2 linked regions of the Drosophila melanogaster genome follow. The protein of the gene in region 1 interacts with the protein of each later gene in a pairwise test. Each region holds a gene or a part of one and is shown in the gene's direction. Other genes may lie near its edges.

The links.
Region 2: the proteins of CG5776 (region 1) and CG34174 interact in a two-hybrid assay, tested with the Drosophila melanogaster proteins (one large-scale study listed by BioGRID).

Annotation. Positions count from the first base shown.
Region 1 is NT_033779.5:12,699,625-12,706,283, reverse strand, and holds CG5776 (uncharacterized protein), read left to right. Parts: upstream 1-1,832; 5' UTR 1,833-1,883; coding exon 1,884-2,289; intron 2,290-2,347; coding exon 2,348-2,839; intron 2,840-2,892; coding exon 2,893-4,394; 3' UTR 4,395-5,335; downstream 5,336-6,659. Other genes in the region: spict (spichthyin), read right to left, coding at 1-693, 1,192-1,492; CG17036 (uncharacterized protein), read left to right, coding at 5,770-6,513, 6,578-6,659.
Region 2 is NT_033779.5:2,209,979-2,215,884, forward strand, and holds CG34174 (uncharacterized protein), read left to right. Parts: upstream 1-4,287; 5' UTR 4,288-4,333; coding exon 4,334-4,406; intron 4,407-4,459; coding exon 4,460-4,906; intron 4,907-4,993; exon of another isoform or gene 4,994-5,035; coding exon 5,036-5,169; 3' UTR 5,170-5,189; downstream 5,190-5,906. Other genes in the region: CG15385 (uncharacterized protein), read right to left, coding at 271-891, 947-1,532, 1,599-1,739, 1,795-2,113, 2,301-2,397; Uch (ubiquitin carboxy-terminal hydrolase), read right to left, coding at 2,992-3,355, 3,437-3,579, 3,638-3,778, 3,918-3,953; daed (daedalus), read right to left, coding at 5,353-5,481, 5,537-5,906.

The DNA of each region.
Region 1 (6,659 bases):
GCAGGAACACAGCTGTGATAACGATCAGGAAGCCGCACACATCGCCGAGAATATCATCGAACCGCATGTGGGTGAACTCCTTGAAGAGGATGGCAGACGCAGCTATCACCAGGGTGGTGAACATTACATAGTACACTGGAGTAACTATACTAGTATTGAATATATCCAGCGCCTTGTTCAGATAGTTCATCTGGATGGCTATGAAAGTGACGGTGACCAGGATCAGGAACCATGGCATCCATGTGAGGAAGACGTTGCCTCCGTTATTCAGCGTCTGCCGTATGGCTAGGCCCAATGCCTTGCAGGACATCACAGTCAGAGATCCGATGCCGGAGCACAAGAAGATATAAACTACCACATTGGTGTGCCCATGCCGTGGTGCAATGAAGCAGGCCACAAACACCGTGGAACCGACGATGCAGATCACGTACAGAATGAAAACCGGATCCAAAAGCATATCGAATAGCAGCTGCAAATCCTCGATCTCCTTCTCTTTGGGCGAGTGAATCACAATGATGGTGGATCCCAGTATGCACAGAAAGCAGCCGATCTTCCCCAGCAAGTTTAGCTTCTCGTTGAGGAATCTGGAGGCCATCACGGCTGAGATGATAACACTCAGCGCGCCCAACGGAGTGACCAATGAAGCGGGGGCAAAGGCGTAGGCCGCAAAGTTGGCCGCTTCTCCCACACCCACTGTAAGAAATAAACAGAGCAAGTGAGTCATAAGGTCAGTGTGATAAGGGGTTCTGTTTTTCTGATAATATACCCTTGCAGACGGTATTCAAATTTCTGGAGAAGCTTCGCAACTAATCTTCGATTCTATAGATTAGGCAAGTTTATGTGTATAAATGGAAATAGTTGTTATCTCTACGTTTTAAAGATTATTCGTTATATGTTTATTAATGCTCTAGTTTGCGTTGTACGTTATAAGTAATTGACTAATATTTGGAAAGATTTAAATTAAAAATATCAGCAACGGAAGTTTGTGATAGCAGGTACATATGTGTTATTTTATTACCTTTTTGGATATGAAACATATGGAAAAGTGTTTCTAAGGCTTTCCTCACTTAAGTATCTTGGTTTTCGAATTTCACTTTACTATTATTACTCATAGAACATATACACACTAGAGAGTTCACACTGCAAGGGTATTCCGGAAACCGAGTGTTCTTTGTTTGGTTCTTCACTCACTTGTCAGAAGGCCCGCCCACCAGATCCACTCCCTCAGATATCCAAATCCTCCGGCTGACGCCCGCACCTCGCCGTACCTGCTCAGCCGAATGAGCGCCTTCTTTTTGATGATGAAGCTGGAACCGATGAAGAAGCAGGAGGAGATAGCCAGGCCAACGCCGATGTAGAAGTCCGTGTTGGACACCGTCTCCGCCATCGAAAGCGGAGCGGTTTCAGGCGATTGGTTGGCTTCTACCGGCAGCATGCCACCCACCGTCACCTGGGGCATCTGCAGTGATGAGGCTTCACCGTCGCTGTTCATCGCTAATCCGCTGTGTGATCCGCTCCTGCTTTTCGCACCAGAAAGTCTGAGTCACAAGCCAACAATGAATCTTTGGAGTGGCTGCATGCGGACAGCGGGTAAATACCGACCCTACCAACACTGTCAGTGATGTCAGCTAGGCTGACTGCATTTGCTTAGCTATTATTTTTAACAATCAATTTTAATTATTTATAACTATCGAATATTTAAAATATTACGCAATGAAATTAATATTAACAAGCAATCCGTACGCCATACGATTATTATCTGTTTAGCTATACCAAGATCTAGCTATTTTCGATCAAGATCTGCCAGAGCTTGCGCTCAATTTGCCATTCACAACGAACGTTTCCACCCACAATGAAAACAAAACGTGCAACCGGCCAACGAAATGCCGCCAAAGTCAAGCAGCAAGAAAAACCAGGTTACTTGGTACCACTGCGAGTCCTGCGGCGTCCACATTCCCTCGAAAGCGAGAGATAACCACGAGGGCTTATGCTTCGCCATCAGCCAGGATGATGTTGGTCCCGATTCTGAGGCGGAGTACGTTCGCAGTGGAGCAATCTATACGAGAAGTCTTCAACAGCGTAATTTCGAGGTGGAGTCTCTGAAGGATCTGCCCACCAAGTATGCCAATATGCTAGTCTTCGTCTCCGAGGGTGCGATGCAATTGGCACAGCTACACATTGGACAACATGTGGTGCTGGAAGCTCCATCGACGGCGGAGCAGCCGCTGGTTAGGATTGTATGGCCCACATCAGAGCAATTCCTCACCACAGTATTTGTGAGCGAAGGGGGTATGTGTTTTACACTATAAAAACAGTTCTCGGCACTAATTATCATACTTTTAACCAGATTTCAAACTCCATTGCACACAACTTCGAGGAAAGCTACTCAAGATCTCTGCCTTGCATCCCAGTCGCCTCACTGCGGCTGCCAGCATTTCCCTGAAGCATGTAAACACCACAGAGACCTCCCTGAAGTCAGTACAACTGCAGGACGCCATTGCCCTTCTCAAAAGAGACATGGTCAATCGGGTATTCTACAAGGACAGTCTGATCCACATGAATTTCTTTAACAAATCGCTGACTTTTCGCCTGGAGCGATGGCAGAGCACAGTGGAAGAGGCTCTAGCTGGTCTGAGTCTCGACTCCAAACCCTTGCAGTTCATCCAGGTTACCAACGTAACCAAGCTCCACCTGATAACCGACGATGCAAATCAGCAGGAGGAGGAGCAAAAAATAAGTCACAGGATCACCAAATGCCAAATAGGCGGGCTGGATAGGCAATTGCAACTGGTTGAGGAGAGTATGGAGTACGCTTTGGGATTCCGAACGTTGCCTGCAGGTAAATGTAAACCAAGACTCACATTGCACCTATTTAAGATTATTATATTTTAGGCCTTAGGGTTTCCCGCGGACTGCTTCTCTATGGCGCCACTGGCTGTGGCAAGTCCATGGTGCTGGAAGCCATGTGCGCAGTGGCCGAGGAACGTAGCCAAGGACATGTCCAGCTTATACGCATAAACAGCGGCGAAGTGTACAGCAAATTCCTGGGCGAAACGGAACAGAAACTTGGTGCTATATTTGAGCGTGCCTACAATCACTATCCGCATCCAACGTTGCTGCTGATTGAGGATGTGCACAACTTGTGTCCCAAGCAAGAAAACAGCGATCTTGTCAAGCGCGTCTCATTGGCATTCTTATCCCTGCTGGATCAGCTAAGCTCTCCCAGCCAGCTAAAGGGAAGCAAAACATTTGTCCTGGCCACTAGTTCTCAGATTGATACCCTGCATCCGAGCATTCGGCGAGCTGGTCGATTGGACAATGAAGTGGAGTTGGGTGCACCCAGCTCTCAGGCAAGGCTGGAAATTGTACGATGCCTCATCAAGTCAGTGGAGCATCAGTTGAGCGATGAGGAAGTGGAGCACGTTGCATCTATTACCCATGGCTACGTGGGAGCAGACTTAGCAAATCTCGTTTACGCTGCCATGCTGCAGGCGCAACCGAATCCTCTACAGATGCCGCATCTACAGGCGGCTTTGACCCGCATTAAACCATCGGCGATGCGTGAAGTTCTCATCGAGTGTCCCAATGTGCAGTGGTCCGACATTGGCGGTCAATCCGAGCTACGTTTGGCCATGCAGCAGGCCATCGAGTGGCCACTGCTGCACGCGGATAAGTTCCAACGCCTGGGTATCAAGCCACCCAGGGGTATCCTCATGTTTGGACCGCCAGGCTGCTCGAAAACCATGATTGCCAAGGCCCTGGCCACCGAGAGCAAGCTTAATTTTCTGTCCATCAAGGGACCAGAGCTCTTTTCCATGTGGGTGGGCGAATCGGAGCGAGCGGTGCGTGAGGTCTTTCGAAAGGCTCGCCAGGTGGCACCCGCCATAGTTTTCTTCGACGAAATCGACGCCATCGGTGGCGAGCGTTCGGAGGGCGACGGATCCAGCTCTGGTTCGTCCGTAAAAGAGCGCGTCCTCACGCAACTGCTCACCGAACTGGATGGCGTGGAGGCACTGCAAAATGTCACCATAGTCGCTGCCACCAATCGTCCAGATATGATCGACAAGGCACTGCTTCGTCCAGGCCGAATTGATCGAATTCTCTACGTGGGACTACCGCAATGTGAAGCACGTAGAGAGATCTTAAAGATCAAACTGCGTGCCATGCCGATATCAAACGATGTGGACATGGAGAAGTTGGTGCAGCTGACGGAGGGATATTCCGGTGCAGAAATACAAGCCGTATGCCATGAGGCTGCCCTGAGAGCCCTGGAGCAAAGCTTCGAAGCGGAGGATGTCAAGTGGACGGACTTCGAGCACGCCTTGAAGGCGGTGCCTCCGCGGACTTCTCCAGAGTTGTTGAAACTCTACGAAGATTACCTCAAACGGAAGTAGATTAAACAACTCAGGGGAACCTTGACTTTAGAACTATTTTAAGATTAATTGTGAAGAATCCGCAAAACAGTGACGATAAGATTACCGAAAGCAAATCTGCTTAATTTGTTTAAACAAATTACCATGTTATTAGCTCTCCAAAATCTGTTCACTCGATCAGCCTTCAAATCGGAGTTATGTATGTAGTTATGTAAGTTATGTAAAGTAGAACCGATTAGAGGGTCGACTTTGGTGTTTAGACAGTTCTGAAATTCATATTTAGTGCCTGCAGATTAGACTACAAAGATAAGATGGCTATAGCAGAACTATCGGTGATAACTTGAATGCTCTATTTTTAACCTCTAAATTCAAAGAGTATCATTCTCTCGATTGTGAATATCAAGAGCAAACGTTGAGCTTTCAACAAATTTCCAATTAATGCGTCACTTAATTGTCAATAAATTGATGGGGAACAATCCAAGAATCTTAATTTTTGTTGCTGTGCGATAAATTTGCTTACTCGACAATTACCGAAATAAAACTTATTTAAAATTTACAACTTTCACTGCTCCGTGATCTGTAACCAAATCTATAAATTTGTCAAGTTGTAATTATAGAAATTCTCCAAATTAATTGAATGTAGATAAATGTATATTTCACGGTCTTTTGAGGTCATACTCGTACAGTAGCGGCCATAAATATATGAAGTGTTCAATTTTGTGAATAACACCAAAATCAATATTAAGTTATGTTTTTTAGTGGCCCTAGCATTAACAGTTAACGGTCATTGAACTTGGGCGCATGATTTAAACATTTGTATGTATGTGTGTAAATATATTAAACAATATACGAATTTTATGGCCCAACAGTAGCTTAAATTAATTGTTTTACGAATTTGCAGTGCTTTGGATATAAGTTCATATGTGCATATCTTTTCCAACAACTTTTGAAATATTGAATGTAAAATATATTTTATATAGCGTTTTTCTTCTAAAAATAATACTATTTGTTGATAGTTTATTTTTTAAGTATATTAAATATATATTTTTTTGTGATAATATAGTTGATTGTATAGTTGTAGTAATCGTTGGAAATAATTTTATATGCCTGTCATATTGAATGTTGCTGTTTTCTTATGATTTTTTTTGAACCCCTTAAAATTCACCTGATTCTGGTTTTCCGGTTGTTGTGGGTGAATACTGCTGGCCACCACTGTAGCCGCTTTGGCGGAGAGCGATGGGCTACCAGGCGCTCTTGATTCGCGCGATCAGTTGCCGGCTGGCGTTCGTCGCGTTGGTTACGACACTTATCAATTGGCGAAACAACTGGCGCCGGATTGGAGCTTGGAGTTTCGAGTCTCCATGCGAACAGCCCACCTGGTATCGCAATTTACGACATGAAGAGCTGGCTGAAGATCTCGCTGCTGCTGTGCACGTTTGGCTTTTTCCGGGAGTTTCGACCTTCGGAGCCGTACGTCACAGAGTACCTAGCCTCGGATTATGGCAACCTGACGACGGATCAAATCTATCAGGATGTGTATCCCTTCGGCACGTACTCGGTGCTGGCCCAGCTGGTAATTGTGTTCCTCATCACAGATCTGGTGAGGTACAAACCGGTTATCGTGCTATCGGCACTGGCTGGCATTACCCTGTTCTCCATGCTTATCTGGACGGAAACCGTGGGAATGCTGCAGGTGGCCCAAGTGTTTTTTGGCACCTTTACGGCCGCTGAGGTGGCCTACTACACGTACATGTACGCCAAGGTCAACAAGGAGCAGTATCAGGTAGTCACGGGCCACACGCGAGCTGCCATCTTGAGCGGCAAGTTCCTCGGCGGCCTGTTTGCCCAGATTTTGGTGTCCACCGATAGCATGGATTACCGGCAGCTGCACTACCTCTCGCTGGCCACGCAGCTAATCTCCCTGGCCGTGTCCCTGTTCCTGCCCAGTGTGCCGCGTAGCCTCTACTTCTACGCGGGTTCCGAGAAGATTACCATTGCCGACGGAGAAGAGACCTCACCAAAGTTCTCCTTTGCCAACGCATGCCGCCTGCTGTGGTACCACCTCGTTAGTTCCTACTCCAATCCCGTCGTGCTGCAGTGGAGCATATGGTGGGCATTGGCCACCTGTGGTCAAGTTCAAGTAAGTTGGCCGTTTATTGCAAGAAGTTAAGTGTGTAATAAACTAATTATGTTAAATCCTCTAGGTGATCTCCTACATCCAGTTCCTGTGGAAAGAGGTGGCACCGAATAAGCTCAGTGTTTACAATGGCGGAGTGGAGGCCGTGG
Region 2 (5,906 bases), about 10 Mb from region 1:
CATCAAGTTTCATTTCCGTATTGCTAGATTTTTAGAAAGAGGTTCTTATAGTCTAACAAGTGCTCCATTGATATGTATCGTTTTCGATTTGTGGATCAACAAGTTGAATGCATTAACTAAATTCCAACTAATTAGATAACATCGCTAATAAGCGGTCGTTTCCAGTTCGGGATAAGACTGGACATAGTGCTCTTCTTTTCATGTGTGGCATCTAAACTACTTATCACAGTTTTATAAAAGGGATCTCCTACTCATCACCTGGGCGGGCTGCTAAAATTCGCCAGTTTTTGGGGGATTCACAGAGCCACAGGCTTCCTTAAAATTGGTGGCATTCAGCGGACTGAAGTAATCTTCGTGCAGGAAGCGAATGATGTTCTCGATGGGACAGAGATCGGCTTTGTTGCCCCTGGAATCCCTGGTGACCCGTAGGCTTTTGCCTCCCTCGCAGAAATCGATCTGCTGCGTGACATCCTTTCCATTGTACACCACCCGGAAGTAGTAATCCGTGTGAGCGTCGCTCCGGTAAACTTCGAATGCTAGTCTGGAGGCATAGGCTATGGTTTGGCCCTGGTTGGTGATGATTCCCAGGGCAGCTGTAAGATACTGCATGGTGCAGTCGTGTCCAGAGTACAGGACAAACTTCGTCCTGTCGCCAGAGATCATCTTCAGCATGTAGCTGACTATGTGACGGATCATTCCGTAGGATCGCAGCAATCCGGATAGCTTGTAGTACGAGTGACCAGCGGAGCGTTGCGATAGTTCGTCCGCAAAGGACATCAGGGTATCCACGTGGCTGGGCTCGACGCAGCCCTCTTGAGCTTCATCCGCCTGCACTGAGGGATTCCCATTTTCCACCTCAGGGGAGTCGGGTTCCACCTGTGTTTGTGCCTCCTGGGGACAAGGTAACATGAAACCTTCAACATTGCAGGAGCTCTTCAATAGTTACCTGCATCAAGTTGGCAGCTGTTTCATCCTGATCTATATTGATCACATCCACCAGTTCCTGATTGGAGTTCTTTCTGAGGGGCTTTGGAGTGGAAAGCGCTTTTTTCCTGCGACATGGCAAGGTGGCGTCATGGCATAGAACTGTCAAAAGGGCATCCACCACCTCGAAGGGATTGCTAATGCCATTCGGCGTGTGCTGCAGTATGGTGCCTCCGATCCACTGCATCACATCCAGGACATCGCCACGTTTCAGGAGCTGCTTATCACCCATGGCCTCCAGACGTTTTCGCAGCAGAGCCGACTGAGGACAGCTGCACTCGCCGAAGCAGAAAGCCATGCTATGCGATTCCCGGACATTCAAAGCCAGCCACTTGTCCGCCGGAAGCAAGGTGAACAGCATGGCCAATGCGGACTGGAAGGTGCGACGATAGCGAGTGGTGAAGACCACCACTTCATCCGAATTAAGAAGCGTGTGGGGCGTCGTTTCCACAGAGGCTCGGTTCGGATTCGGTTTGAGCAGGAGACCCAGTGGATGAGCATAGACCTGGTGCATGATGTCGCCCACGTGTAGCAGCTGCGAGATTCCCCTGGTGAATGAAAAGTCAGGCGTATGATTAATAGCGGCATTGAATGCCGGTAGTGCATTCACTCACTTGTAGGTGAGCTGCCCCAGTGGACAACCACGTTCTGTGGCCGGCAGCAGTGGAAACCCATGGAACGGCCCCACCTTGTTCCAGTACATGTGATTTGATCCCGAAGCGGAGCTGCTCGAGTTATACAGAAAACTGCGATACCTAAAGCAAAACCACGTATCAATGAATAAATATTTCCGGAAATGTGATAGCCCACCTGTTGACCAAGTTATCTGAGCCACCACTCACGCCGCAGTTGATGCCAGCACTGCGAACGTGGGATATGGGTCCCCGATCCCCGTGCCTGATGACCAGGAGCACGCCCTGAAGCTTCCAACCCTCCAAGATGCCGCCATCATCCAAACGCTGCAGCTGAGCCAACGGAGCACAGCGTTCTCTGTACTTGGCGAATCGCTGGGCAGTGGAAGATGGCGAACTATCGCCGCCCAAGGAACTGACGGTGCCAGACGAACTGGGTCCGAAAACTGAGCCACCGCTTGGAGTCGACTCAACATTGCCCATGTAGCGATACATTCCTAAAAAGGATTATCAAAGGCAAGGATTAGCTATTTGCCTATGAATATAACAAAGCACGTCCTATTCGAGTGTTGACAACCATATTAACTAATTGGGTCAACTTAAGAAATCTTTTCTTAGATTTATATTGAGTATATATTGAATGTTTTCCCACGATTGCCATTAATCCGCTACTTTTCCACTTACCCGCTATAAGAAGGAATATCCAGACGCTGAGCAGCACATAGCAGTAGAAGGCTCTGTGTTGGGTGGCCACTCGCATCAGTTCCTTGAGCAGCCTCATCCTGGCCAGAAAGTCCGGCTCTTAACTGCTGCCCGCTAGCTCCACTGCTGCTCCTCGGCATCAACTCGTTGGGCGGCACTCCTGGAGGGTTTCTGTCGATACGATAGCTCTGATATACTCCTATCCAGTGCTTAAATTTCAGGCTAGAGCTCCGCTGCACGGGGATTGCTTTTTTAATGCTAAGTGTAGAAAAAACAAGGTTCAAGCGTTTACGTGGAGCACGACTAATTGGCAGGGCATGCGCAATGGAGGCCACATCGTTATCAGCTGTTGGCACAGAGGTGGTGGACAAAGGGGGAGTTTGAACAGCCAAGCCTATATTTTTATATATGTATATTAATAAGTAAAAGCCGTGTGGTGTTCAGAATAAGCTTAGCATCAAGCTAGAGTGCACTCTTTAATAACAATCATGGTGTTCCCAATACATATGCGGCTTTGGCTCAATGCGGAATAAATATGCGTAAACTATTGACCGGCTGAAAGGCGGGGCTTCGTTCGCCTTTGCAGCCTGGTTTAAAATATGTTGGATATATAAATATATAGTCTGGCAGATCCGGGATCTTGGTGGTTCTCAGTTATGGGATTAGTTCCACCCTATTGTTGTGCCGCGGTCAAGGCCAAAACGGTGAAGCGCACTTCGTTGGGATCGCGAGCCATGAACTCCTTGCAGACCTTGGCCGCATCCTTCACAAAAGTCTCCTCCGAAGTCGGTCCGTGCTTGATCGGGAAGGACTTGCGGCCATCCAGCTCGTACAGAGTACCCTCCTTGTTCACCAGTGCGATGAAGTGGTGGATCACCTTCTCATGATTGGCGGCATTCGTCTGGCCCTCTTGAGCCAAGGCCTCATGATCGGCGGTGAACTTCTCGTCTTTTTCGAGGGCCCGTCCGCGTTCCTCCGGGGACAAGGAAGCTGTCTTCTCCAGGAAGTCCTTCAGTACTCCGCGGTCAATGTCCACTCTGGGGAAAGATTACATTTTGTGATATATAAAGAGATACGATTATTAACGATCTTATATAGAAAAAACGTCACGAACTCACTCTTTGTTGTTGGCCACGCTGTGGATCAGGGCGACGGTTCCACAGGCGTTGTGGGTGAACTGGCGCATGTAGAAGAGATCCTCGGGATGCTGCTCCTCCACCTCCTTAATCCGATCGTGCTCCTCGGCGCGGTGCTTCTCATACTAAAAATGGAACCTGGTTGGCCAGGATAATAAGATAAGAAGGTCAAGCTAAACCTACGGTTTCGCTGCACGGGAAGAGCAAAATGAACGCCTTTACGGGACGCGGAATCCATTCCAAGGTGTCATCTTCCAATCCAATGACGTCAGTTACCGACCAGGCTGGCGACACGCCCAGTTTATGTATGTACTTGGTCAAAACCTGGAAAAGTGGGAATGGGAAGGTCTTAATGGCGTCTTTTAACTTTATTATCCAAATCCGACATTTTGGAACAAAGAAACAATGAATGTGCAAAAACTGGAAGTGCGGTAGGCAAAACCTTTACAGGTAAAGTCATTACCTCGGGATTAGATTCAAGTGGCGTCCAGGTTAACATATTTTTGAATTTGGCTTTAGCAGTGATCTGATTGAAAATTCACAGGAAAATGAAGGATTTCTACACACAATTACCGGCACTTTTGACGAGCTTTACTTTTTTCTGAATGTGGTGTGTGAACATTGATTTGGTCGAAACATATCGATTATAAGCTTTTCAATTGTGTGTATTAAAGCAATTGATTCATGTAATCGATTAAGATTAAATGAAATAAATGTCGAAATGTCCATTCCCCATTTAAATAGCTATAGTTCTATGCTAACATTGAATATATTCACTTATCGATATTAGAAACCATTAGTGTTGATAAACGCGTTGAACGTATTTCCCAAAGAGGAGGTGTGCATACACTAGCTGAAGTAAACAATATTGTTTACAAAATGACCAAAGCGAATAAAACGCCGCAAAAAGCAAGTGAACCGAATATAAATGGTTCCTTCACACCAGTTCGATGTAAGTTGGCTCCAAAGACAAAAAAGGTTATTATTTCTTTGCATCGTTTCCAGATTTGGACAGCCAGCGCCTGCAATCGCCCACGAGTCACGATGCGAATTTAGCCACCTGCAAAACCAGATTGGAAACAATAGTCAAACAACTCCAGGATAACTACGCTAAATGGCAGCTGGCCCATCAGCGGGGCACCTCTATTTGCTATACTATCGAAGCCAAGAAGACCAAGTGTCTGGAGAAAAGCCAGGATGAAGGCAGCTCCCTTTACCCAGATGATCTCCTACTTCCCTGCAACAAGTTGGCCATCATAGCCTCTATTTTCGGGGATATCGCAAATAATACAAAGGAGATACTAAGACAACTGAGAGGCATATTAAAATTACCGGGATCTGCAGCGGATACGATATTCTACAGGTCCTGGAAGTTGCAGCAATTCGTGGTTTTCGCGAAGGAGCTATCCGAAAGATATGAGAAGGAGGCTCTGGTCAAAATGGAAGTTGCCGGTAGGAATAATAAAGCTCCTCTTTGTCGAAAGCAGCCCCTTTAATACGTTTGAAAATTCAAAGAAGCACAGATTAATTTCTCAAATTCGATTTACCATCTTAAATATAATCATGTTACTTTTCTTATAGGTAACATTGCTCACTCGACTGAAAGAAGCCAGCTCATTGCGCACACAACTTTATGGGAATTTCCCGAGCACGTGGACTCCTATGTCCATCTGGGGTTTCTTCTCCTTGCCGAAGAAGTCAGTTTAAGGCAATAAATTAAACAATTTTTCAACTTAATACAACATATGGTTTCTATCAAATGTTCATGTTGGGCAGTAAAACTTCATTACAGCTTTAGATTAAGCGAATGCTTAAAGAAGTAATAAGTAAATTCTATAAACTTAGGTCCTATGAGAAAATCGGAATGTAACTATTAAATGCATCGTTGTGCGTTTTTTTTAAGTCTGAACGGAGATCCGCTCCAGTCGGGGAGCGCTGCGGAACTTGGTCCACCACCAGAACCAGGCGCACGAAAATCCCACAGCCAAGGTGGTGTAATACAAAATAGTAGCCAGGCTCCACTTCTTCTGCAATGCAAATTTGTATAAAGGAAAATAATTTCTTATTGCTTGCTATATTCACCTTCTTGTGACTCTCGTTGCCCTGCACTTTCTTCTGGCTCCTTGCGTTCTGGGCATTAGCTTCGATTTTCGCGAGATCCTTGGCAATCTCTTCGGTGATCTGATTCACGCTTTTTAGAGTTTCCTGGGCAAAGCAGCTGGCATATCGTTTGTCGCCCACCACGACGTCCTCGGGAGTGGAGACCTGCAGCTTGTAGTTGGTGGCCGCTAAAGAAGCGCGCAGGGACATAAAGTGGTTGCCAGCATTGCCCAGAATCTGATTGTTGTAGTTTTCGGCTTCAGGATGGTTGCAAATGTATTCGTAACTGGGATTCTGGTTGGGAATCTTTTCGAACATCTCCAGGAGCTGTTGCCGTTGCTTTCGACACTTG